7 linked regions of the Cricetulus griseus genome follow. The protein of the gene in region 5 purifies or fractionates together with the protein of the main gene of each other region. This does not show direct contact. Links are inferred from orthologs where the notes say so. Each region holds a gene or a part of one and is shown on either strand. Other genes may lie near its edges.

Region 1 (3,708 bases), on a different chromosome or scaffold from region 5:
AAATGACAGCAGGCGAGCATAGTATCACTAAGCTACATCCCAACCCTCTCCAATATGTTTGAAATCATTTGCAAATTACTTACAATGACTAATACAATATAAACACAACGTAAATAGTTGTTATACTGTATTGTTGGGGAGTAACATGAAAGGAAAACGTATATAAATGTTTAGTACAGACACAATTTTTTCATGAATATTTTCACTCTACAGTGGGAAAAATCCACAGATGTCCACCTAGAAATATGAAGGGCCAGCTCTAGTTAATGTAATTAAAATATTTTCTCCAGATACTAGGAACCTCCCAGGTAATCAACCCACAAACATTGACCTTATCTCCCACTCCAGGCACTCATTGTTTTTTCCAGAAGTCTGGCATCCATTGTTTTTTCCAGAAGTGTTCAAGTATGAAACTTAAAAAGAAAAAAGTTTAAATAACCTGAACCACTACATTGAAGTCAAGTAGTCTGCTATGTGAGAGATAAGCTTGATCACGCCAGGAAGATAACAAGACCCTTCATACTACTTCTATTCAGGCAACTCAGAATCTGCCTGAGAAGTTAATGGAATATCAAGAGTGGTGAATCCCGCCGGGCAGTGGTGGCTCAGGCCTTTAATCCCAGCACAGACAGGCGAATCTCGATGAGTTCAAAACCAGCCTGATCTACAGAGCGAATTCCAGGACAGGCCCCAAAGCTACACAGAGAAATCCTGCCTCAGAAAACAAAAGCAAATCAAACAAACAAACAAAAAGAGTGATGAATCCAGTTTGAGAAGGGGTGACAGGGAATGGAGGGTCCTGGAAAGACAGGGACCTAAACGAACTGAGACAAAATAAGCTGCAGGCAACCGGCATGCACTCTGGAGTCCAAACTAGAGAACAGGCTTGCGCCCAGATCCAGACTCCCATTCAGAGTCATTCAGACTCTTACACACTTGTATCACCCAGGCTTTGAGCAGAGCGCACATCTATGAAAACATCGCCGCACTCCGAACACTTGGGGAGTTTTATGGGCAATGAAGACCACAAATAAGAATCTCAGAAATTAAGCACCCAATTGACAGAGGCCATCCTCACTCCTGATAACTTCAGTCAGGGCCCCACAGCCTCCTCCTATGGCCGACCCCCACTCCTGCCACCACCGAGCACTCTTCCCGAAAGATGATCCCAATCTGGACGTCGTCATGCCCCCTGGGAACCTACACACCTCGCAGCCACTGAACTCTGAGGATCCTCCCTCCTTCCGGACGGTGCTGCAGCGCCACACGCTACACGCCTCACGCAACACTGAGCCGAGCCAGCCACCGTACTCGAGACCACGGTCGCGTACTTGACGTCACTGACTAGCGCCTCTCTGCATCAAAGGAACTATGGCTTTAGAGCGGCCTACTCGGCTGCTATCACTAGCAGTTCGGTTGCTTCTGGAACCACGACGGAACATAGCGGTGCGCGGTTCCGACGAGCCCTTGCCAGTGGTGCGCATTCCGCGGGCTCTGCAGCGACGGCAGCAACAGCGCGATCGTGGGAGTTTCCCACGGCCGGTGCTAGTGCGACCTGGTCCGCTGCTGGTCTCGGCACGGCGGCCGGAGTTGAACCAGCCCGCGCGCCTCACGCTGGGTCGCTGGGAGTGCGCGCCTCTGGCTTCGCGTGGCTGGAGGCATCGGCGATCGCTTAAGGATCATTTTTCCATAGAGCGGGTGCAGCAGGAGGCTCCCGCCCTGACTAACCTCTCGTCCCGTGGCAGCTTCGTGGACCTGGGTCTGGAACCCCGAGTGCTGCTCGCGCTTCAGGAGGCTGCGCCCGAAGTCGTTCGGCCAACCTCAGTGCAGTCGAAAACCATCCCCCCACTGCTTCGCGGCCGCCACATCCTTTGCGCTGCCGAAACTGGTAGTGGGAAGACTCTCAGCTACCTACTGCCCCTGTTTCAACGTCTCCTGAGCCGGCCAGACCCGGATTCCCGCAGTTCCGCAGCACCCCGGGGCTTGGTTCTGGTACCTTCCCGAGAATTAGCCGAACAGGTGCGGGCTGTGGCCCAGTCATTGGGTAGGTACTTGGGCCTGCAGGTAATAGAGCTCGGAGGAGGCCTCGGCAGGGCCAAGCTCAAACTGCAGCTGTGTAGACAACCGTCAGCAGATGTGCTTGTGGCCACTCCAGGGGCTTTGTGGAAGGCCCTGAAAAGTCAACTGATCAGCTTACAGCTTCTTTCCTTCATAGTGTTGGATGAAGCGGACACGTTGCTGGATGAAAGCTTCCTGGAACTTGTGGATTACATCTTGGAAAAGAGCCCTATAGCAGAAAGTCCAGCTGAGTTAGAAGACCCCTTTAATCCCAAAGCTCAGTTAGTGATGGTGGGAGCCACGTTTCCAGAAGGCGTAAACCAATTGCTGAGTAAAGTCACCAGCCCAGACTATCTCACCACCATCACAAGCTCCAAGCTCCACTGCATTATGCCTCATGTCAGACAGACATTTATGAGACTAAAGGGAGCCGAGAAGGTGACAGAACTGGTTCAGATCCTCAAACAGCATGACAAAGCCAATAAGACAAAACCCTCAGGAACTGTCCTGGTGTTCTGCAACAGCTCCAGCACTGTGAACTGGTTGGGATATATTCTGGATGACCACAAAATCCAACATCTAAGGCTGCAAGGGCAAATGCCAGCCTCAATGAGAACAGGTATCTTCCAGAGTTTCCAAAAGGGCTCCCAAGACATACTTATCTGCACAGACATAGCCTCACGAGGTCTAGATAGTATCCATGTGGAACTGGTTGTCAACTATGATTTTCCCCCTACTCTGCAAGATTATATCCACAGAGCAGGAAGGGTGGGTCGTGTGGGCAGTGAAGTGCCAGGGACCATTATCAGTTTTGTGACCCATCCCTGGGATGTGAGCCTGGTTCAGAAAATTGAGCTGGCAGCTCGTCGAAGAAGAAGCCTTCCAGGACTAGCATCTTCAGTGAAAGACCCTTTGCCTTAACAAGCCTAATCTTTGGCTGGCTTGAATCTGATGCTAGAACAGGGATCTCCCTGGGGGAACAGGGGAATTGAACACATTTGTCAGTGGATCACATTGGATCACTATACTACCCCTTGCCTCTCTGAAAACATGATGAACTGTTTGGAGATTTGAAAAGTAAGCTACTGGCCAGAACTGGAAACTAACATATTAAAAAAATAATAATAAAGTGGATTTTGACTTCATATAATATCATGGTTTCATTTTTCTTCTAATTGTATGTTGGGGGGGTGGTGGTCAGAAGACAACTTTGTATCAGTTCTCTCTTTCTACCTTTCTGTGTTTTCCAGGTATCTGAGAGCACCAGATTTGCTTAACAAGTGCATTTATCCACTTAGCTACCTCATGTCATGATTTCTAACAAGAATGATTTGTGTATTTTGAAACAGGTTGGCGCTCCGTAGCCCACAATTGAACTCACTATGTGTAATTAGCTCAAGTTGGTCTCCAGTTATCCTTTTCTTCATCTCTTGCCCCCCCCCCTTTTTGAGAAAGGATTAAATTAATCCCCAGTGCTGGGATTAATTAATTAAGGCATGTGCCACCACCACCCGGCTTTTTTGTCTTGTTTTGGATTTTGCTCCTTCCCTTTTTTTCCAATGTTTTTTTTAAGACAGGGTGTCTTCCCTGGGTGGTGGTGGCATATGCCTTTACTCTCAGCACTTGGAAGGCAGATGTAGAAGGATCTCC
Region 2 (2,543 bases), on a different chromosome or scaffold from region 5:
GGGACAGATGAAATACCACGGCAGTGAACTGTGAGGTAACTTCCATTTTTTTCCCCCGGAGAGAACAGTTTATGGGGCAGAGGTGGTATGTTCTGCCCTTTGAAGATTACTGGCACACTTTCAGCTTTTCACCTCTCTAATCGACTGGAAGCAGCCAGCCGATCACTAGTCCTCCATCCCCCTCGAGTCCTCCGATTGTCATGCCTAGGCCTTGCCACAAAGACTGCACCTTTATGTGAAAAAAACTTAGAAAAAATGCAGAGGTTAAAGAAAGCAATAAACTTTCTTTAAAAAAAACTACATGGAGATCTTCTGGGAAACCAAGCCATGAATTCGAGTTTGTACTAACCTAGCCCTCTGGAGGCCACATCGGTAGCAATCAGAATAGGAGCTTTTCCGTGTTTGAATTCTACAAAGACATACACATAAATGATCATTAATCCAAGCAAATGTTATCAGGTTATAAACAAACTTCATCTTATTTGAAATACACACCATTTAGAACCCAGTCACGTTCCTGTTGACTCTTGTCACCGTGGATGCCCATGGCAGGCCACCTGTATTAACAAGTTATATTAGCTCTCTTACATTTGAAACCCAAAGGCAGAAATCTACCAATATTTAATCTAACCCTATAGTACTTCATCTTAGTCAAGTGCTCTCCCACTGAGCATTATATCCCTGAGCTGTTACCACTACACTGTCATTGAAATCAATTTGTATAATTCTACTTATATTGTAGAATAGATGATCCCCACAAAACTCTCTTTTGATCAAAGTACCATGAGGCAGGAAACCACATACCCATCTCTCCTCATTTTTCTGGTAAGTTCATCACATCTTCTTTTGGTTTCAACAAAAACAATGGTTTTATTCTCCTTCTCACTCATGATCTCTTCCATTAGACGAATAAGCCTAAAGAGAAAAGAAAAAAGAAATGTGCTTAGTGAAACGTATCAACGGAAGTCAAAACAACACACCCACTAAACCACTTCTGTAAAAGCTTATGACACGTGGCTGTCCTTTCCTTACAGGAAGTAAGGTTAAATACTAGGCAAGCACAACACAGATTTTCATAAAGACTGGCATACCACTTCGTGTGCTTGTGAAGTGGCCAGGCTCAAACTCATATAGCTTTTTTCTTAAGCCAGCCAGGCAGGCAAGTGGTTTATCACCAAGCTATATATATATCCACAAACACATTTTAAAAAGAACCTATACCATACTAAATTTCATTTTAAGACAACTTTCAAAACTAATTACTCTTGTACAATTCAAGATCTTCTCAAATTGCTAAGATTTAAACTTACTTTTCATCCTTTTCTACATCATGACACACATCCACAATCTGAAGAATGTTATGGTTTGCACTCAGTTCTAGTGCACCAATATTGATATGAATATAGTCTTTCAGGAAATCTTCAGCAAGCTGTCTTACTTCTTTTGGCCAAGTTGCACTCCACATTAGGGTTTGCCTATCAGGCTAAAAAATTTTGGGAAATAAATTAAGACTGGAACCCTAAGAGTAAACTTAGAACTGATCTTTACTAAGAACATAAGGATACACACTCTTATTTGATCCACAATTTTCCGTATTTGGGGTTCAAATCCCATATCAAGCATTCTATCAGCTTCATCGAGGACAAGGTAAGTTGTTCTTCTCAGGTTGGTTTTCCCACACTCTAAAAAGTCAATCAGTCTTCCAGGTGTTGCAATACAGATTTCCACACCTTTAATTAAAGGAGCAAATGTAACTATAACATGTAAACCTTTCATTCCACCAGTAACAAGGAGCCCCCTTTATGATCATGTACCTCTTTCCAAATCACGAATCTGTGGTCCCTTGGGAGCACCCCCATAGATGCAGGTAGACTTCAAGCGACAGGCTCTACAGTATTCAGCAGCAACTTGCTGCACTTGCTGGGCCAGTTCCCGTGTTGGTGCCAGCACCAAGCACTAAGGAAAAAAAAATTGCAAAAAACCCCAGCTTTTAGTACACAACAGTATACTATGGTGCTGTGTTTTTTTTGGAGGTGAGGTGGGGTGCATGCTGGGAATTGGATTTATTTAAGACAAGGCTTTCTGTCATTGAAGCTGGCCTCCAACTCCCAGATCCTCTAGTTTCTGCCTGAGATTATAGTAGTGATCACTGACTATTAAGCATGAACCACTATGCTCAGGATAGAGAGACTTTTTTGCATGTGGGAGAACATGTGGAAAGCAGAACTTCTGATTGGTTCTCTACGTGTAGGTTGTAGGGATTGAAATCCGTCCTTGCTTATTGTTCTTGGACATTAGTAACTTGAAAAAGGAACTAAAGTCAAACCAGTTCTGGCAAACTGAGTGGGATTATGTAGTCTAAAAATTTTTAGTGTTAAGGACCAAAAAAGTTAAGAAATACTTACAATAGGCCCATCACCCCTCTCTAGGAATGGCTGATGATTTATGTGGACAATGGCAGGCAGCAAATACTGTTGGAGGGGAAGCGTGAAAACAGAAATTTTATTAAAAATGAAAGATTATCAGGTCACCACTCCCAGAAT
Region 3 (4,046 bases), on a different chromosome or scaffold from region 5:
AGAAAATCAGCAGTTTTTATACTGGAGCAGAGAATAAGCTCAGAACTAAGAGAATCTGAGTTAACCAATATGGGAAATTGAGGGTATCTGATTCAAAGTGTTCCTAGTATGTATGTATGTATGTATGTATGTATGCATGTATGTATGTAATGGTTTATTTCCAATTATCTTTTCATTGGTTAAGGTGAGGGGCACAGTGAGCTAAATACAGTCAAGAAATAGAAAAAGTTGGGCAATTTTTCCATTCTAAATTTATCTACTTCATTCAAGCCAACATGGCAGATCTCCCCACTAATAAGAAAGGAAAATATCCCTGAAGTTGTTTGAAAACCTTCACAGGTGAATTTCAATTCTCATCAGATTTGTATTTATGGCAAGTACTTAATGACTATTTTCTAATGCCTTTCAACAGCTATATGGAACAGAAGGCTTATATTTTCTTTAAGAGACTACTTTTCTGCATTAAAATGCACAGCCACACAATGGCAGCTGAATTTTTAACAGGTATTTTAATTGAAAGCTACCAGTGCAAATCAGTAAGTCACAAGTGAACCATAAATAACACCAAAGCTTCACTTCATGGAATTTGGGGCAGGAAGGTGGTGGTGGATATTTAGCAACATTCTTTTTTTCTTTTCTTTTCTTTTTTTTTCTAGACAGGGTCTCACTATGTAACTCTGGCTGTCCTAGAACTCACAATGTAGACCAGGATGGCCTCAACTTAGAGATCTGCCTGCTTCTGCTTCCCAAGTGCTGGGACTGAATGCATGTGCCACTAAGCCTGACAGCAGCATTCTTTACAAGGAGTAACACATAGCGTTTTCTTTTTCCCTTAGGCTTTTGTTTTGAAGCTTAAAAAGTCTTCTTCAACAATTCCTCTAAAGTACTCTCTTATCTGTGAATGCTTTTTATCTGCTATTTAGGATACACACAAGTTAATGGTTATGTAATAGGAATTTTGTTCCAGGACATAAGACACAACAACCCCCCCAAACACTATACTTTGTATTCAATCATTGTAAAATAGATTCCAACTACATGACACTAACAGCCTTAAAAAAAAAAACAAAAAAAAAAAGATATAAAAAACTTAAGGCAATCCCCTTGGAAGTAAGACTTGGAAGCAGCTCTCCTTCCCCTGACAGTCAGACACTATGGATTAGCTCTAACCAGGCAAGCATTTCAAAAGAAAGGAGAAAGGTCATTAACTCCCAGGGGAAGTCTCTACACATTTTCTACCACAAGGTTACTCAACTGACCCACTAGAAACCCCTCAACCATTTCAGCTCAGGAAGTCAAGAGCCTTAAAGGCACCGGTGTAGAGTAAGTCTAAACATACGCCCATTTACTGACTTGGAAGGAGAATTAAGATATAAAAACAAGAGGGACAAGGTAAAAAAGCCTCATTCAAGCAACTAACATGCTACTAAAAGTTACTAAGACTTTTTCTTTGCTAGTTAATGATTAAACGCAATAGGCTCATACTAGACACCGTCTACTACCGCCAAGCAGGAAGGAGCAAGGTTAGCTACCCAGTCTCTGTAAGGCTTAAGCTCTAACGGGAGTTTGACAGAAAAACACATCACAGAGTGTTTACTGCTTAACATTCTCACTGTAAGAAATTAACTGTCAGATAGGTCGAAGCCCTAAGCGTCTAACTGGTACCTGCAGATCGCCAATTTCTCACTACATTTTCTGCTAAAGGTATTCAGCTAAAGAGGAAGCACCAGAAGACTGATCCACAGGTAGCTCCAAAGTACACACAGACACAGACATAGGCACACACGCATGCCACACCACACACTTCCATCCACTAACACCAAGAAACCACGTTAGGCAGAAACCTCCCTCCTGCAAACAGGAGAGCAACAAGGCACCCAAACCCTCAAAAAACATGGGCAGTGGATGAAAACCACGTTCCCTGGGGAATCCCATCAAACAGCCACGGAACCCGTGCACTTTCCGGCAAGTGGAAACAAGGAATCAGATGGCGCGGTGCAGGGTGGGGTGCTGGATCAGAGAGACGCACCAGGCTGGGTTGGAACCTGGCTCTGCTGCAAGTTCCTCACCTTGTTCTTCTGTGGCCTTGTCACCCGGTGCCTCGGATCCCGGCGTCTCATCCCCGCTGCGTTCCTCCGGCCCGTCTTCCTCCCCCTTGCCGGTGTCATGCTCTTCACCACCGTTTACCCCACCTGACCCAGCCGTGGCCTCCGCCGGTGCGTCGGAAGATTCGGGCTCGGCCTCCATGGCTGACGCCTCCGGGGGCTCCGGAGGCGGCTGCGCGGCCTGGCCCAACGCCTGAGCAGGAGGTGGCTCCTCGTCTTCGTCCTCAAGCAGCGCCTCCTCGTCCTCCTCCTCCTCGTCGTCCTCCTCGTCGTCGTCCCCGCCCGGGCCTCCGCCCGACGCGGCCACAGGCCGAGGCTCCGCCTTGCAGGCCCCGCCGGGCCCGGCGCCGCCAACGCCGGCCTCGTCCTCCAGCATCTCAGCATCCAGAGCCTCCTGAAGCCGCTGCGCCAGATCCATCTTGAGGCCGCGCGAATCCAGGCCCCGCCGCTGCAGCTCCGACCGCAGCTCGGTCACTTTCAGCCGCTTCACCTCCATCGCCGCCGCCGCCTCCTCCGCCTCCCGCCGCCTCCTCCCCTGCGAACTGTCGACCGAGCCCGACCGCGCAGGCGCCGCCGCCGCCCGCCTCCGCCTCCCGCGCCAGCACTGTACTCGCGCTCGTAAGCGCACGCAGGCGGCGGCAGGAGCCGCGCGGTTACAGCGGCGTGTTTGTGTCGCCCTCCTTCGGCCCTGCCCCTTGCGGCTCACTGAGCCCCAAACAAGTGATAGAAAGTCGGCTCTCGGCCGCGGACGGGCGGGCAGGCGGGCTGGCGGGCGAGCGCGCGCTGAGGACGACCGAGTTCCCTCACTTCTCCTTCCCTCCCTCCCCTCAGAGGCCCCGGCCAATCAGCGGAGGCCTCATGACTGCGCAGCCGCAAGGAACCTGCTCCGGCAAGGCTGGCTGCGGCTCAAGTGCCTCGTAGCACGGAAGCGTGTGTGTGCCCCTCGTTCGGTCCTTCGGTTGTAGGCTCTGCGCAGTCGCGCCGGAGCCCCGCCCACCCTGTCAGTACTCTTACTTCCTGCTCGCTCCCACTCGCCGGGGCACCCTAGGTCTTACTTGATGTCGTCTCTTCCGTATTCTTTCACTGCGTCTTCTGAAAGTCATCAACCGAGACAAGCCGGAGGGCTGCCTGGCGCAGAGCAGTTGTTTTCGTAGCTCGTAGGCAAAGGGTTTTCCAGCGAGAGCGAGCAATGCCCGGGTCTTTTTCTGTGCTTAAACTTCTACCCAGCAACAGAAGCTCCGACCCCGCCCTTAGCCTCTCTCATTGGCCATCTTGAATCGTAGTCTGTTGCTGTGATTGGACATCTGATATCGTGCGGCTTTTTTTCCTATTGGAGAAGTGGCCGGGAATTTTTTTTTTTTCCGGGTTGGTCCGCTGGGAAGGCGGGGTCATTTTTGCGGGATTACTTTTCTGGACTCGTTTCTGATTGGGTGAAGTGACGCAATGCGCGCTCCCCATTAGATGCTAAACTGCGGGGAAGCCGGCTCTTTTCCTCTCGGTGCTGCGGCTCTTAAACTGAATCCCTGGAGGAAACTTCCGGGCTTGGGCCACTGCAGTCTTGCGCTTGTTGTGTTTGCCTGTGCATGCGACATCTGTCTCTCCTGCAGATTGGGAGGTTCAGGCCTCATTCACTTCGGTTCCTTAATTAACAGCAGAGACATCAACAAATGCTTGTTGAATAAGGTCAAATAAAGAGCTTGGGAAGGAGCGAAGCCTTTTTGACTTGTTTCAGTTGTTCCCGCCTACTCCATCTTCTTCCAGGTCAGGGGGTGTGTCTCAGAGAAAAGGAAACGAATTTTGCGGCGGTCAAACACTTGGCATTTGTACTTGGGCCTTTAAATCTTCCTAGAGTCTATACTCACGCCAGGATCTCTTCTTTTGGAAATCATTTGGTCTATGGCTTCACTACCTCATTATTCCTTTTGTTGTGGAACTTCTGGA
Region 4 (3,500 bases), on a different chromosome or scaffold from region 5:
ATGTACAGATCCCTGACGACATATTAGGTATGGTGGTATATACCTGTAATCCAAGCACAACTGGAGACCCAGGCAGGAAGATAAGTTTAATGTTAGCATCAGCTACATAGCAAGTTCAGGCCAGCCTATGATACAATAGACCCAGTATCAAAAAAATAACACAACAGAACAACAAGGTAATGAGAACTTGAATTAGGTTCTTCCTATTTATATTTGGACTTGAACATCTGAAGGAGTTAAAAGCCAGTGTTGCAAGCTGGGTGTTAACGTCTGTGAAATGGAGTAGATGGAAAAACAGAATCAAATGCACAATTTTGGGTGGGGGATGAGGGATGCGTGAGTATATTTATGTGTGTACACCATGCACAGGTGTAGTACTGGTTCCAGTGGAGGCTGAAGAGGGAGTCGGATTCCTTGGAACTGAATTCATAGGTGGTTGTGACCCCTATGTGGGTATTCCAAATTGAACCTGGGCCCTCTATAAGTCCAACAAGTGCTTTTAACTGCTGAGCCATCTCTCAAGGCCCCCCTCCTTTTTGGGGGCGCCAAGGTTTCTCTATAGCCTGGGTTGTTCTGCCTGGAACTCTCTGGAGATCAGGCTGACCTTGAACTCATGGAGATCTGTGTCCTCTGGAGTGCTGGGATTAAAGGCGTGGACCACCACCACACCTGATTTCCAGTCCCTATTATTATTTTTTAAGTGATTTTATTTATGTGCATAGTGTTTTGCCTGCATTTGTGTCTGTGTGAGGGTTTCAGATCCTCTGGAACTGGAGTTACAGACTATTGTGAGCTGCCATGTAGATGCCGGAAATTGGACCTAGGTACTCTGGAAGAGCAGTCAGTGCTCTTAACCACTGAGCCATCTCCTCAGCCCTATTTTTTTTTTTTTAAATATTTTATTATGTATACGACATTCTGCTTCCATGTATATCTGCACATTAGAAGAGGGCACCAGATCTCATTACAGATGGTTGTGAGCCACCATGTGGTTGCTGGGAATTGAACTCAGCATCTCTGGAAGAGCCGTCAGTGCTCTTAACCTCTGAGCCATCTCTCCAGCCCATCTCAGCCCTATTTTTATTTATTTAGTTTTTTTTTTTTTTTTTTTTTTTTTTGGTTTTGTGAGACAGGGTTTCTCTGTGTAACAGCTCTGGCTGTCCTGGAACTAGCTTTGTAGACCAGGCTGGCCTTAAACTCACAAAGATCAGTCTGCCTCTGCCTCTGCCTCCCAAATGCCTGCATTAAAGATGTATGCCACTATCACTTGGCCTAATTTTAGCCGGGAGATGGCAGCACATGCCTTTAATTCCAGCACTCGGGAGGCAGAGGCAGGCGGATCTCTGAGTTCAAGGCCAACCTGGTCTACAGAGTGAGTGCCAAGACAATCAGGACTACACAGAGGAAAAATGGTGTCTCAAAAAAACAAGTAGTAGTAGTAAGTGTTTTTATTACATTTGTCATCACATGTACACCACAACAAATGTGTGGAGATCAGAGGACAACTTGCAGGATTTGGTTCTCTGTGTGGGTCCCAGAAACTGATAACCCAGGGCCTTTATTGTCAAACCATCTCACTGGGTCTTGTTTATATATTTTTGAGACCAGGTCTCAGGTAGCCCAGGCTGGTGCTGAACTGTTGATTCTCCTGCCTCTGTCTTCAACGTGCTGAGATTATAAGTATATAACAATTTTTTTTTTCTTTTGAGAATCAGAAAAAATCTGTATATTATTTTTGGTAAATAACAAGTTTAATTTCTGGTTTAGTGTGAAATGGCTTTTCCTCGGGTCAAGCCCGCACCTGATGAAACGTCCTTCAGTGAAGCCTTGCTGAAGAGGAATCAGGACCTTGCCCCCAATTCTGCAGAGCAGGTATGTTCTTTCCTGAGTCTGTGCTAAGGCCTAAAGCATTAAGAGCTGGGCTGGAGAGATGGCTTAGAGATTAAGAGCACTTGCTACTCTTCCAGAGGACCTGGGTTCAGTTGCCAGCACCCACACGACAGCTCACAGCTGTCTTGTAAGTCCAGTTCCAGAAGATCTGATATCATCACATAAACATACATGCAGGCAAAACACCAATGTGCCTGTGAAATACAATTACAAAAAAAAAAAAAAAAAGAGCTAATAAAATGTTGTGTTGCTAGGATTGTAAGCCAGTGGTAGACCGCTTACCTAGCACTCTTGAGGGCTAGGGTTTCATTCCTATCAAGAGTGTTTTCAGAGCTCAAATTCCTCCTGTGTTTAATTATTCATTCCCCCTTCTTACTGTAGGTGGAGAGTCTAGTGATGATACAGATTAAAAATGTTGTTTTGTGTACTTTTTGGCCTTAGGGTATTTTTGCTTTGTGATGTTTTCAGGCTTCTATCCTTTCTTTGGTGACAAAAATAAACAATGTGATTGACAACTTGATTGTGGCTCCAGGGACATTTGAAGTGGTGAGTTTTTGATGAATTAATCCTAAGTAAGGGCACCCTTGGTGGTATGGAAATTTTCTTGTCCTTTGCCTGTCAAATTTCCAGTTGTCTGTTATCCAAATCAAAGCCCCAAATGGAAAAGTACAGGGACATTCTGGAACTCTTCATCCTGAGGATGAGATTTGTATCACTGGTCTAGTCATATGTGGTTGTTTGGGGGATGGGATTTTGTCGTGGCTGCTTCTAAATCTGGGTAGTAAGAAGCTGCTGAAATAGTTCTACCTTTGTTTCTCTAAATGTCCCTAAAATCCCCTTTTCAACAGCAAATTGAAGAAGTCCGACAGGTTGGATCATATAAAAAGGGGACGATGACGACAGGACACAATGTAGCTGACTTGGTGGTGATACTAAAGATCCTGCCAACATGTGAGTGTGTGTGTGTGTGTGCGCGCGCGCGCGCGCGCATCTGGTCTTTCTCTGTCGGGGTGGATCGTGGTGTTGGGCATGTTAGCCTGTCATGGGACGCCTGAGAGCACAGGATCCCTCAGAAGGTTTGAGTTTTCTCTGAGTATCTATGCAGTGGCAAGAGCAGATGGGCTTATAAAAACAGTTAGGTCTGTGTAAGTCAGAATTTAGTAGAGTTCTCAGCCCACCCTTCTTGGTATAGATTTACTTTATCTTTTTTTTATAGATTTGTTATGTATATAGTACTCTGCCTTCATGTATGCCTGCAGGCCAGAAAAGGGCACCAGATCCCATTACAGATGGTTGTGAGCCACCATGTGGTTGCTGGGAATTGAACTCAGGACCTCTGGAAGAGCAGCCAGTGCTCCTAACCACTCAGCCATCTTTCCAGCCCTTTATTTTATTTCTATTAGTGTTATGCTTGTATGAGTGTTATACATTCCATGTACATGCCTGAAGAGGGCTTTGGATCCCTTGGAACTGGAATTATACATGGTATGACCCACCAAATGGCTGTTGGGAACTGAACCCAGGTCTTCTACAAGAGGAAAAAGTACTCTTAACCTCTAAGCCTCCAGCCTACTTTCCTAAACATTGAGGTTAGATTTGGGGCTAATAAT
Region 5 (4,147 bases):
TCCTCCGTTGTTATAGCTGTCATAGCTGCCACTCCCGCCATAGCCACTGCCCTGGTTTCCATAACCCTGTCCACCACTTCCATAGCCTCTGCTTCCTCCAGAGTAACCAGGGCCGCCTCCTCCATAACCACCTACAAGAATACAAGCCTTCTCAATAAGACAAAAGTATTTAACAATAAAAATCTATGCAAGTGTAATGACTAATGGCCTGCTCACAGCATGCGTATTACGGGGCTGGTTGATTTTGTCATGCACTAGGTTTAGTGTCTACTAGCCTAGTCTAAAGGTATAGGTTGCTAGAAATTTTACTTACGGATTCCTTAAGAAACTTACCGTCATTACCAAATCCATTATAGCCATCCCCACTGCCACCATATCCACCACCACCACGGCTACCACCGAAGCCACCTGTAAGAAACCAGAGCTTTAGGTATATGAATGAAGCAAATGCTAATCTCTGTGTAACGAAAACTTATGTTTTGGGTAAAATCTAAATGCTATAAACAAAGACTAGCAGTTATCCATCGTTCCAAAAGCAATTAAGAAATCCAAAAGGTACACACCTCGACCACTGAAGTTTCCCCCTCGACCAAAGTTGTCATTGCCGCCAAAACCACCTCCACGACCACCACCAAAGTTTCCGGAACCACTTCGACCTTAAGAGATGTTTGGATCATTACATTAGACCAACTTGCAGCAACAACCCAACTACCCTCTGCAAGTTCTAACTAAGCAAGAGATACCTCTTTGGCTGGATGAAGCACTGGCCATCTCTTGCTTTGACAGGGCTTTTCTCACTTCACAGTTGTGGCCATTCACAGTATGGTATTTCTGAACTTAAAAAAAAAAAGTTAACTTTAGGGCTTTAAACACACTGAGTCCCAGTCATTAAGAAATCTGAGCACGATGGGTGTTGGTGGCCCACGCCTTTAATCCCAGCACTCAGGAGGCAGAGGCAGGCAGATCTCTGAGCTTCAGACCAGCCTGGTCTACATGAGCTAGTTCCAGGACAGCCTTTAAAGCCAGAGAAACCCTGTCTCGAATCCACCCAAAAGAAAAATGTAATCTGGCTGGGGGGTGGAACACCCCATAAATCCCAGCATTCAGGAGGCAGAGACAGGCCATCTGAGTTTGAGGGCGGGTCTCATTTCCAGGAAAGGACCCAAAGCTACAGAATATTCCCAGTTTGTGGGGGAGGGAGGAGGAGGAGAGAAATCTAATTATCTGACACTTACTAACAATCTTGTCCACAGAGTCATGGTCATCAAAGGTGACAAAAGCAAACCCTCTTTTTTTCCCACTGCCTCTGTCCGTCATGATTTCAATCACTTCAATCTTCCCATACTGCTCAAAATAATCACGAAGGTGATGTTCTTCAGTGTCCTCTTTAATACCACCAACAAAGATCTTTTTCACAGTTAAGTGGGCCCCTGGTCTTTGAGAATCCTAAAAGGAAAATGATGCAGTCATTATTAGTACATTTCAAATGATTGGCAGCTGTGGTGGCCCACGCCTTTAATCCCAGCACTCTAGGGGTCTATCTGGCGTCTAGATAAAAGAGAACCCAACTATTAGCATAATAACACTCACTTCTCTTGAAACAGCTCTCTTAGGTTCCACAACTCTGCCATCCACCTTGTGTGGCCTTGCATTCATAGCGGCATCTACTTCTTCCACAGTAGCGTACGTGACAAAACCAAAGCCCCTGGATCGCTTCGTATTTGGATCTCTCATTACCTGTTTATAGAGTTAATTCAATCAACATATTGCCTGATATCAGGACCTGAGGCCATTCCAACTCTGAACATGTCCAGCATAAAACTCCATTTAGACTCAAGCATAAGGCCCCCAAACAAAGATCCTTTTAAAATTATACCATTAATTACCTTCACAAAGCATCTGGGTAAGAAGTGCGGCATGATTAAAGCAATAAAATTAAACCAGCCCCGCCTTTTGTTCCTTCTAATCTTACCACACAGTCGGTGAGTGTTCCCCATTGCTCAAAATGGCTTCTCAGACTCTCGTCGGTTGTTTCGAAGCTCAGCCCTCCAATGAAGAGCTTCCGCAGCTGTTCCGGCTCCTTGGGTGACTGAATCGGATCAAAGGAGAGCCGTTAGCTAAGGGGCTGGAACTTGAGCGAATGGATCAACTCCACGCATCAACATAGGCCGCACTTTTTTATTGTTCTTTATTACAGCACAAGACCACGTGCTCCTCTCTGGGCCAGGAGGTGCTGTTGGGGCGTGGGGGGGAGGACTAGCATGCAGCGCATGCGTCCCTACTCTATACGCACGCGCAACAAAAGACACGGGCTGGACTGGTCAATCGCCATTAAAACTTACTGAAGCCTTAGCAGACGTTAGTTAGGCAAAGCCAAGAAAGAAAATAAAAAGAGCCACAACCCCCAAGGTCGCATATCTGTGAATTCTGCCACTAGGAGCCGAGTGTGGAAACTAGCGGTTAGCGGACGGCAGCCTCATGGCGACTACGAGGACAAAATGGCGACCTGCACTTTGTGAGCAGGCCTCGGCAACGACCGATCAAACACCGAAAGCATGGGTGCCAGCCAGAAAAATAGGTCGCATCCCGTCCTGTTCATTGCGTATGGAAGGAAACGAAGCCGCAGAGCGCGCACAACTCACCTCCGACTTAGACATGACGGCAGGGAAACGAGAGCCTTCAGCGATGCTTCCTCCGCCGCGTCAACAGGCAGAAAGGAGTAAGTCAACGAACGTATCCGCCAGCCTACCTTCGGCTCGCCTTTTTATCCCGCCTCCTCGCTTTCGGCATTGGTAGACTCCGCCCTGGCCTTACTCTGATTGGAGATCTGGAATTGTTCCCGCCCACTCTAGGTCTGTGGATCCGCCCTGCTAAGAGATGGCATCTGCTGGGGCGTTCTACGCAGTCTCCGCCCTTCGGAGTCATCGACGCTCTGGGGGATTTTTTTTTTAACCAGGTTGATTGACTAGCTAACCAGTGGTTTATATTTGAATGTACCCATGTCTTTAAACGCCTTGCATAACTTCCCAGCGTCCGAACATTATAACCTCACTTGGCAAAACACGACACGTTAGGAAAAGTAGTTCGCTACCACTTTTGCAGCCACTGCCCGGAGAGCGCATGTGTAATAAAAATGGCGAGTTTACGCCGGCGCACTAAGGAGTTCCGCTCGCCTACTGAACACGTGAAATGGCGGGCGGCGGGCGGGAGAGGGCGGTGAACCTAAGGCGCCTGCGTACTGGCGGGAGCTGCGTCCTGCTTTGCGCAGGCGTTTTGGGCGGAGAAAAGGTCTGGGCCCAGGATTGGTTGCGCAGGCGCAGGGAAAGGATCCGTTTTGGCGGGCGGCTGGCGTTGCGCAGAAGGCGGCGGTAGCGGGTGGCTTGTGGTGCAGCTTTACCACAGAGGAACCGCGCAGGCCTTAGTGTGAGTGGTCACTGTAGATCCCGGGTAAGTGGCAGAGTCTTGACTAACCGTGGGAGTTCCTGGACCCGCTCCAATTGGACTCGTTATTGTACGAAATGAATGGGCCCCGCTGGACTTGGGGGAGCGACAGTGAAGGGGCCGCGATGGGTCGGGCCAGCCAATGGGAGAACGGGGGCGGGATGTTTTAATTCTGCCAGGTCCTTTTGGGCTGCGCTACCAGAGCGTTTGACTGACGAGTGTATAGGCCAATTGGGTCTTCCTATAGCTGCCTACGGATCGGCCCTTGGGCCATCCGAATGCGGGAGGCGGGCTTTTCCCGCCCGAGTGGCGTCTCTCAGAGCCAATGAGCTCCAAGCGCGCGATAGGCCGGCCTTCTCCAAGCGGCAGAGGCTGGACTCCAGTGGGGAGCGCGGGAGTCGGGAGGTTAAATCCATGGACCAAACCTGGATCAAGTAAATGGAGAGATTCCTTGAAAGAGAGGCATCTTGCCTTCAGAGGGAATTGTAGGGGTGCATATTTTATCTACAATGACTCCTATAGTGGAGGCAATCATTCCCTACATCACCTTAACGAAAGCATGTTTTCTTGTTCCCCTCTAGTTTGGCATTTTTCTTGCTCTTTTAGATCCCTTCACTTGATATTTTGAAGAACTTAGGGAGGGAGGCTTTAGTTTTTGAAAATTCTTAAAGGAAAACATTTAATTAAAGTTTTAGGTTGAAATGGC
Region 6 (3,500 bases), on a different chromosome or scaffold from region 5:
TAAAACATGGTTGCAATATAATTAAAGATCTTCCTCGATGCTATTTTTACTTAAATGGTTTGCTTGACTAAATTTCATAACTTGAACTTTGCATCAAATTTATTAAGCATGGGATTTTAAGACTATAAAATATTGGTCTCTTTAGATGCCTATGAAATTTCTACCACTTTTTTACCTTGACTGCACCATCTCGCTCATCAAAATGAATGAAAGCATAATCTTTTAGTTTCTTCACTCGTTCCAGTTTCCCAAACTGACTAAATGACTTTTCTAAAATTTCTTCTGTTACAGTATTGGCAAGGTTGCGTACAAACAGCACTTTTACCTGAAATAAAAAAGCAAATTTTCCAGAATTCAATTTCCAAAAGCAACCACCCCATCCTACAAAGTTAACTTGAAACACAACCAGTAAGTATATATAGTTTTAATTTCCTGTGGGTAAATGCCAAAGAGTGAAATTGCTGATAAAAGTAAAAACCGAAACAATAATAAAGGTATTACCAAACCAAGTTCTACCACGAAAAATGTGTTCAATTATTAACAGATAAGCAAGCTAAAGCTGAAGTACACTACACACCTTACTTAAACCCCAGAACACAGGAGACAGAGGGAGGAGGATCTCTTAGTTCCAGGACAGCCAGAGCTATTATTACACAGAGAAACTCTGTATTGAAAACAAACAAAAACAACCTAGAAACATGTTGGGATTACAACACTTTAAAGCTTCAAACCTGAGGATTAGGAAGAAATAAACTTTCATTCACAAAAACTGGGGTGTAAACTGATGCAGCCCCTGTGTTTAAGGCGGTTCCTTATAAAACTAACCATATTCTTATCTTATAATCTTGTGTTATTACTCCCTATTTATATTTACTGAAGAGTTGTTAAGTTTTATGTTCCTACAAAAACTTGCATCCAGATGCTTCTAACAGCTTTATTCATAACTCCCCCCAAACAGTAAAAAGATATCCCTTCAATATATGAATGTACAAACAAAGCAGAATTTTTAGCTATAAGTCAGGGAGTGGTGTTGCATGCCTTCAATCCCAGCATTCCAACTACTCAGGAGGCAGGGGCAGGGGCAGGGGCAGGGGAATCTGGGATGCAGGGGCAGGGGAATCTAAAGGACTTCCAGGATAGCCAGGACATAAAATTCACAAAAAGAGGACATTTAAAATGTTGCCACGGACTCTCAGAAATCTATATAGGCATGATACCAATCATGTGACATTCTGAAATGGTAAAAGGGAAGAAGGGCTGTCAAGATTTGAGGGATAGAGATAATCAAAGCACAGTAATATAATTTCTGGGATACTATAATGGTGATTATCGAAACCTAAGACTGCTTTTGAAATGTTGGATAAAGTGCTTTAAAATACTAGTAACATCCTGGGAGTTGTGCTGGACAGATGGCTCAACAGTTAAAAGCACTGCCTGCTCTTCCAAAGATCCTGAGTTCAATTCCCAGAAATCACATGGTGCCTCACAACCATCAATAATGGTGCTCTCTTCTGACCTGCAGGCATACATGCAGACAGAACACTGTATACATAATAAAATTAAAAAATAAAAAAGCTTGCTGACACATCACACATGAGATCCTGGGTTCAATTTCCAGGAACATCTAACTCCCTCCTCCTGAAAATTTCTCAAAATATAATTGTTCAATAGTAGTCAGCACTCCCAATAGTTAAAACTGCCTTCTATAGATTTAAGCAAACATGACCTTTTAACTATTAAAGGGATTCCTAAAAGACAAGACAGAATATCCAAACTGCACTCAAGAGTTACCTCAAGAGTTAACCCTCAACTGTTTGCTGAAAAAAAAAAAAATAATAATAATTCATTTATTTGATTTTTTTCCTTTGTTTTGTTACAGGGTATGACTCATAAAAAAATAAAATAAAATTAATTACATCACCCTCAAATATTCAAAAGAAAGTGCTCTAGAATACCTTCCGTGCACTCACATTTTTTAGTGTATAACTAATTGCTTAGTAAACTTTTTACCTTCAAAAACATTTAAAACAATGCAAACAATTCATTTACTAAGTTTTTTCTTATGCTCCTCTTATTAACCCAATAAAAATTGTTTTACTTTACTGTAATTACCTTTGCCATAACTTCAGGATCAGGATCTTCTATGGGATCAGCCCATTCAACAGTTCCAACATTTCCCCAGACTTTGACTTTACCACTCATTAACCTACGCCTTGCCTGTGCAGCTGTTTTGTGATCTTCATATTCAAGAAAGCAAAAGCCTCTATTTTTTTTCTTGTCATCCGGTTGGTGATATAAAATGACATCTGTGAGACCCTCTGAAATTAAACAAACATCCCAGAAAAGTAGGTTAACTAGCAATTAATTTGTGTTTAATAAGCTACTCTTTAAATAAAACATGAAAAATACAAACTTTTACTAACAGCAATTATCTTTTAAAGAAGCAAAAGCCAGGTGGTGGTGGTACATGCCTTTAATCCCAGCAGAGAGGCAGGCAGATCTCTGTGAGTTCAAAGCCAGCCTGCTCTACAGAGTGTGTTCAGGACAGCCAGGGCTGGTACAAAGAAATCCTGTCTCTATAAAAACAAAAAACAAAAGCAAGAGACATACTCTCCCCCACAAAAAAAAATTATTAATTTTCCAAATCAACCCAACCCTACCCTAGCTTTCTAGCCCAGAAAACCCAACAAAAGCAAACTACTTAACTAGCCATGGGAACCATTTTGATTCCACTAAGGTATAAGACAAATAAAATTCGTCTGCTCATCTAAAAAAATGCTATCTCTTTGTCAAACATGATTAAATTAATTCATTGCATTAAAATTCTATTTGGGAGGGAATGGTCACGTGAAGACCCCTGGTCTTCAGCCTAAGTAAAAATCTTACCTAGGTTGAGCTACATCCACCACCCTTTTGCTTTTTTTTTATTCATATTTTACCATCTCTGAAATTGGTTTAAATGGCATCTTTTTCTGTTCTCAAATAACAATGGCATTCTTCAAAGGAAAATAGTAAATACTGTTAATGCAGAACACTTTTCTATGTTTCTACAGACTGTTAACAGAAAGATAATTTTCTCAACACTGTAGGTAGATTAATGTTAAAAAAAACAAAAGTACCATGTTAACAATATGTCTCTGCTTTTAACACTTGTTCCTTTAACACAGGTGAAAAGGCTTCATTCATATCTAAGAATTAAAAACCACTAGGGGGCTGGAGAGATGGCTCAGTGGTTAAAAGCACTGGCTGTTCTTCCAAAGGCCAGGTGTTCAATTCAGAGCACCCACAAAGCACCTCGCAACTGCCTGTAACTCCAGTTCCAGGAGTCTTACAACTTCACAGACATACATGCAGGCAAATAACAGCTAAAGTGTGGAAATAAACACAAAACAAGGAAGAGATGGGAAATAAATACAAAGCAAGGAAGGGATGTGCAATAATTTCACAGACTGATTTCAAATTGCAGATGTATTTCCATGTTTAGTTTTGTCTTATTGTCT
Region 7 (4,157 bases), on a different chromosome or scaffold from region 5:
TAACAAGTTCCATGCCAGTCTGAAGAAATAAAAACTCCAGTAACACAATGACACGTTATCTACAATTCCTTTGCTTAGAATACAAAGGCAAATCACAAGTTCAAGGCCAGCTTGGTCTACATAGCAAGCACCATACCTAAGAGGCTAGGGATCCTTTCTCCAAAGGAAAAAAGTTCTGCCATAAGAGCATTTTAAATCCCTTTAAATCCAAACTAAAGCCATGCCAAGGATTTAAATATATAACCCTACAGATAAATCTAAATAAAAACCATAATTGGGCCACATTTCCATCTTTTAAAGGGCCATTTTAGTGGCAAAATGATTTAATCTCTTTGCATTTTATAAATTATGTACCTTGACTTTTAAAATATACCCAGTATCTGCCATGAGTGGTGGCACACATCTTCAGTTGTAGCACTCAGGGGGGCAGAAACAGGTGGATCTTTGTGAGTTTGAGGCCAGCCTGGGCAGCCTAGTAAGACCCTGCCTCCAAAAAAAAAAAAAAAAAAAAAAAAACTTGACTTCCACTGCAAAAGTTATTTATTGCATGTATTAAACAACTTTTTACTTCCAGAATTGCATAATCTGTAAGGGAATGTCAGAAAAACATGTAACGGTAAAATCAGGATGTTTCATTTGGGACCGAAACATTTTGTCATCATTCATTCCCATATTGTAATATGCCAATACTGTTACCTGGATACATCGGAATAATATCTCCTGAAATGACATGGTTACCCTGTGCTGAAGCTCAATTACCTGCATCAGCTATTTCATCTTCACAACTCAACGAGCTGATTTTACAAATGAAGAATCGAGCTGCTAAGCTTGTTACTTTCCAAAGACAAAATATGGAGACTGAATGACTTTAGCCCCACAACAATGTCCTGTCACTGTTATACACCACTGTCAGAGACAGTCAAATTAGTTAGAGCCACCTTTTCACCATAAATATACTCTCAACTGGCAAAGCTGCCCGCCTTGCCTATCGTCCTTCTATCAGTAAAACACTTGGCAAGAGGCTACAGCTCAGTTTAAGAGTGACAGCCCATGTGGAAACCGGTGGGTTCTACCTCTAGCACCAAAGAATAAACAGCACCTTGGCCACACGTTAAAACTTTGTCATCCATGAGGGCAGGGGAGTTCAGAAGGAACTCAGAGAAGTGGGTGAAAGACCAAACTGATTGCAGTTTTATCTCTAGAAGCTAGCTAAACAATATATAAACACAGTGGGAAAATAAAATTGTTCACTCTTCAAGTGAAAACAATTTTCATGTCATGTTTTACCGATGTATATAAACCTTACGGCAATGTGTAACACCAAGAAAACAAAGGGTTGAAATAAAATCTAACTCCATTTCATGTTTTGATCCTTCCCATCCCGGCACCATGACATCTTTGCACATGCTCAAATGCAGTCTGGGGGGTCTCACCTGCCACTTTTTGACCATGGAGCACATCTTGTCCCGGGTAAGATCCATGCCATGGAAGTTAGTCAGACAGTTTTTGCCCTGAACATCCTCAGTAATTAGCTTGAATTTTCTAAATGCAACTTCGTCATTCTGCAGATCAGCAAGGCTCACTTCAAACACACGACCCTTGAGGCCATCAGATGCAATTTCTACGAAAGAACCAAAGAACCCATTAAATTGTTTCAAAAACCCACTTGGACATCAATGACTTACCAGCAATACCCAACCAAACATTTTCTTGGCTAACTCTAAAAACACCTCCTTGCTGCTACAAACACACCGCAAATGCCAAATCTGCAAGCACTGGGCAGATTTTCCCATCACAGAACAAAAAAAAATAGCAGGCCCAGGTGCCTGTTAAAATACACACGCAACAGCTTAAGGACAAAGCAAAACAAGTATTGGTACTCACTGGTTCCTTGAGTCCTCGTGACTAGTGTTTTCCCAATGTTTCTAATATTGAACATCGCAGGCGCTTTCACGTCATACCAGTCTTTCTTCGAAAATGGATCAACCCTAGATTTGAGAGAAACAGACTCAAGCTTCTTTGTAATAAATCCCAAGACTGCCACTGCCAACTCTTAAACTTTCCTCGTCCTTACTTCCGCTGACAATGTCCCCGGCAAAAAAAAAATCTTAAACCGGCTTGTCTTTAATACAAAATGACGCCCCTCACCGTGATGAGCCTAAGGCCGGCGTGCCTGTCAACAGGACAAACCGGTAAGCTGGAAACCATGCCTTTCCCGCTCCTCCACCCCACAGGCGGCATTTCAGACTATCTCGGAACCTGGAGGTCCTGTGACATTAACTATTCCGTGACAGCACGGACCGGTCAGCAAGTGTCGGGAGCTCCCAGGCAGGGTCCACGAGGCCCCAGCGCAGGAGCCAGCGACTGCCGAGCCCAGATGTAGAAGGGACATTAAAAGTGCCCAGGACCATTAAGTCACCCAGAGCCCACAGATCGCTACACGTGACGAAAGCCCGGCTCACACGCGGGCGCGACGCCCGGCCCGGCCGGGGAAGAGGCGGCCGTCTGGAGCGCACCGGCCAGCGGCGTCGCCGCGCAATCCGCCCCGCATCCTCACCATCCGCCCCACGCTGCAGCCCAGAACCAGCCCGCCAACTCCTGTGGGACCCAAAGAGCGGGGATCCGCAAAATGCGCCACTTACACTTTCTTCTTGGCGCCCTTCTTGCCGCCTTTCGTCAGGCGCTTATTCTTGCCGACCGCCATGGTGCTGCTGAGAGAGCCAAAAGGGCGGAAGTAGTACCCGCGCGAGAACTTACGCGAGCTGGGCGGGGAGCGCTGTCTACGTGACCCTTGCTCTTTCGCCCTTCCGGCTTTCTCAATCTCGCGACACGAGTCAGCGGCTCGCTCCCACCGGGCTGCGACAGCGCCCTCGTGTGTCGGGAGGCCGCGCAGCGGGCCGCGGGGCTGGCTGGGCGACTTCGCTGAGGTCAGGAGCGCGCAGGCCCGGCAGAGGCGCGCACACCAGGTTTCCTGTGGTTCCAGTTGCCCCCAGGGTGGGAAGTTTCCGTACGAGGAGAAGCCCTCTGAGCTGTCTCGTGTTCTAAACTTTGAGAGTTTGTTTCTTTCCTAGAGCCTGGGCTTTGAATCGGAGACAGCAAGTTCATGTTCAAGAGGTGGTTTGAACAGTACTTAGCCTTCCGACCTCTCTGGCCTTCTGTCCCCTCACGTGTAAAATGGGAATAATGATATGATCTACTTCAAAACGTTGGTATAATTAAATAAGCATAACTCCGGGCATGCTGCTCACGTCCCGCGCGTGCTGATTTGGATTCTGATTAGTCTCGGGTATGGGTGTTTTGTGAACATGCATGAAGATAGAGGCTCAGCTGGGGTGGTAACGCATGCCTGCAATCCCAGAGCTCTGGAGGCAGGACAACAAATTAGAGGACTGTGAGTTCCAGACCAGCCTGAACTACCTAGTAAGACAGACTGAGCTGAGGGGTGGTATAGATACTTTCCGGTATATTTCTTACTTATCAACGAGAACAAAGGTGTTTGTGATACCAACTCCTGCCCAGTGTGTATGCTTACCTACATATCTCTTACACATTTGCAATCATATTTTTATTGCTTGTGTGTGCCTATGTTATGCATGTACCCTCTCCAGCCTATGTGTGGAGGTCAGAGAACAACTCTCTTATTCCACTCTCTTATGTGTATAGGGCTGGAACTGCGGTGGTCAGGTAGAACTCAGGGTCAGGCCTCTGCGGGTGCCTTTACCAGCTGAGCCATCTCGGCCCCCGCCCCGGGTGGGGGCGTGTTTTGCTTTTTTAGTGGAATGGGAGACTGGAGCCGCTCAGTGGTAAAGACTAAGCACGTCTAAGGCCCTAGGTTCCATCCTCAGCACTTCAAAAAAGACACAGTGGAGTTCAATCCTTGTACCTAATTGCCCACCAATTTTCTTAATGTAAAACCCCCTTTCCCATTTTTTAAAATATTTATTTATATTGTGTACATTGGTATTTTGCCTGCATGTATCGAGAGTGTCAGATCCCCTGGAACTGGAGTTACAGACAGTTGTGACCTGCCATATCATATGGGTGCTGGGAATTGACGGTCCGTTGGAAGAGCAGTCAGTGCTCTTAACCACTGAGCCATCTCTCCAGCCCCCCCACTTACCATTTTTATGTTTGTTTTTTCAGACAAAAGTCTTGCT

What was found.
Region 1: the proteins of Hnrnpa1 (region 5) and Ddx28 purify together in Homo sapiens (affinity purification with mass spectrometry; 3 studies listed by BioGRID and IntAct, with this or other methods). This does not show direct contact. The link is inferred for Cricetulus griseus from reciprocal best matches to the Homo sapiens genes HNRNPA1 and DDX28.
Region 2: the proteins of Hnrnpa1 (region 5) and Ddx5 purify together in Homo sapiens (affinity purification with mass spectrometry; 4 studies listed by BioGRID and IntAct, with this or other methods). This does not show direct contact. The link is inferred for Cricetulus griseus from reciprocal best matches to the Homo sapiens genes HNRNPA1 and DDX5.
Region 3: the proteins of Hnrnpa1 (region 5) and Hnrnpul2 purify together in Homo sapiens (affinity purification with mass spectrometry; 3 studies listed by BioGRID and IntAct, with this or other methods). This does not show direct contact. The link is inferred for Cricetulus griseus from reciprocal best matches to the Homo sapiens genes HNRNPA1 and HNRNPUL2.
Region 4: the proteins of Hnrnpa1 (region 5) and Ilf2 purify together in Homo sapiens (affinity purification with mass spectrometry; 4 studies listed by BioGRID and IntAct, with this or other methods). This does not show direct contact. The link is inferred for Cricetulus griseus from reciprocal best matches to the Homo sapiens genes HNRNPA1 and ILF2.
Region 6: the proteins of Hnrnpa1 (region 5) and Syncrip purify together in Homo sapiens (affinity purification with mass spectrometry; 5 studies listed by BioGRID and IntAct, with this or other methods). This does not show direct contact. The link is inferred for Cricetulus griseus from reciprocal best matches to the Homo sapiens genes HNRNPA1 and SYNCRIP.
Region 7: the proteins of Hnrnpa1 (region 5) and Rps3a purify together in Homo sapiens (affinity purification with mass spectrometry; 3 studies listed by BioGRID and IntAct, counting the BioPlex papers as one, with this or other methods). This does not show direct contact. The link is inferred for Cricetulus griseus from reciprocal best matches to the Homo sapiens genes HNRNPA1 and RPS3A.

What each region holds. Positions count from the first base shown.
Region 1 is NC_048596.1:182,307,713-182,311,420, reverse strand, and holds Ddx28 (probable ATP-dependent RNA helicase DDX28), read left to right. Parts: upstream 1-1,337; 5' UTR 1,338-1,371; coding exon 1,372-2,979; 3' UTR 2,980-3,208; downstream 3,209-3,708. UniProt on the Homo sapiens protein: Plays an essential role in facilitating the proper assembly of the mitochondrial large ribosomal subunit and its helicase activity is essential for this function. May be involved in RNA processing or transport. Has RNA and Mg(2+)-dependent ATPase activity.
Region 2 is NC_048600.1:119,729,527-119,732,069, forward strand, and holds part of Ddx5 (probable ATP-dependent RNA helicase DDX5), read right to left. Parts: intron 2,472-2,543; coding exon 2,406-2,471; intron 1,957-2,405; coding exon 1,815-1,956; intron 1,731-1,814; coding exon 1,570-1,730; intron 1,484-1,569; coding exon 1,311-1,483; intron 916-1,310; coding exon 805-915; intron 558-804; coding exon 496-557; intron 410-495; coding exon 350-409; intron 246-349; coding exon of another isoform or gene 232-245; exon of another isoform or gene 1-231. UniProt on the Homo sapiens protein: Involved in the alternative regulation of pre-mRNA splicing; its RNA helicase activity is necessary for increasing tau exon 10 inclusion and occurs in a RBM4-dependent manner. Binds to the tau pre-mRNA in the stem-loop region downstream of exon 10.
Region 3 is NC_048596.1:51,268,683-51,272,728, forward strand, and holds the start of Hnrnpul2 (heterogeneous nuclear ribonucleoprotein U-like protein 2), read right to left. Parts: upstream 2,801-4,046; 5' UTR 2,602-2,800; coding exon 2,070-2,601; intron 1-2,069.
Region 4 is NW_023276806.1:64,071,091-64,074,590, reverse strand, and holds part of Ilf2 (interleukin enhancer-binding factor 2), read left to right. Parts: intron 1-1,767; coding exon 1,768-1,872; intron 1,873-2,358; coding exon 2,359-2,436; intron 2,437-2,738; coding exon 2,739-2,841; intron 2,842-3,500. UniProt on the Homo sapiens protein: Chromatin-interacting protein that forms a stable heterodimer with interleukin enhancer-binding factor 3/ILF3 and plays a role in several biological processes including transcription, innate immunity or cell growth.
Region 5 is NC_048595.1:399,611,774-399,615,920, reverse strand, and holds the start of Hnrnpa1 (heterogeneous nuclear ribonucleoprotein A1), read right to left. Parts: upstream 2,801-4,147; 5' UTR 2,658-2,800; coding exon 2,643-2,657; intron 2,090-2,642; coding exon 1,973-2,089; intron 1,738-1,972; coding exon 1,591-1,737; intron 1,447-1,590; coding exon 1,236-1,446; intron 837-1,235; coding exon 744-836; intron 657-743; coding exon 564-656; intron 409-563; coding exon 334-408; intron 132-333; coding exon 1-131. UniProt on the Homo sapiens protein: Involved in the packaging of pre-mRNA into hnRNP particles, transport of poly(A) mRNA from the nucleus to the cytoplasm and modulation of splice site selection.
Region 6 is NC_048597.1:198,378,426-198,381,925, forward strand, and holds part of Syncrip (heterogeneous nuclear ribonucleoprotein Q), read right to left. Parts: intron 2,319-3,500; coding exon 2,113-2,318; intron 326-2,112; coding exon 176-325; intron 1-175. UniProt on the Homo sapiens protein: Heterogenous nuclear ribonucleoprotein (hnRNP) implicated in mRNA processing mechanisms. Component of the CRD-mediated complex that promotes MYC mRNA stability.
Region 7 is NW_023276806.1:68,278,007-68,282,163, reverse strand, and holds the start of Rps3a (40S ribosomal protein S3a), read right to left. Parts: upstream 2,801-4,157; 5' UTR 2,705-2,800; coding exon 2,643-2,704; intron 1,989-2,642; coding exon 1,885-1,988; intron 1,622-1,884; coding exon 1,434-1,621; intron 668-1,433; exon of another isoform or gene 595-667; intron 1-594.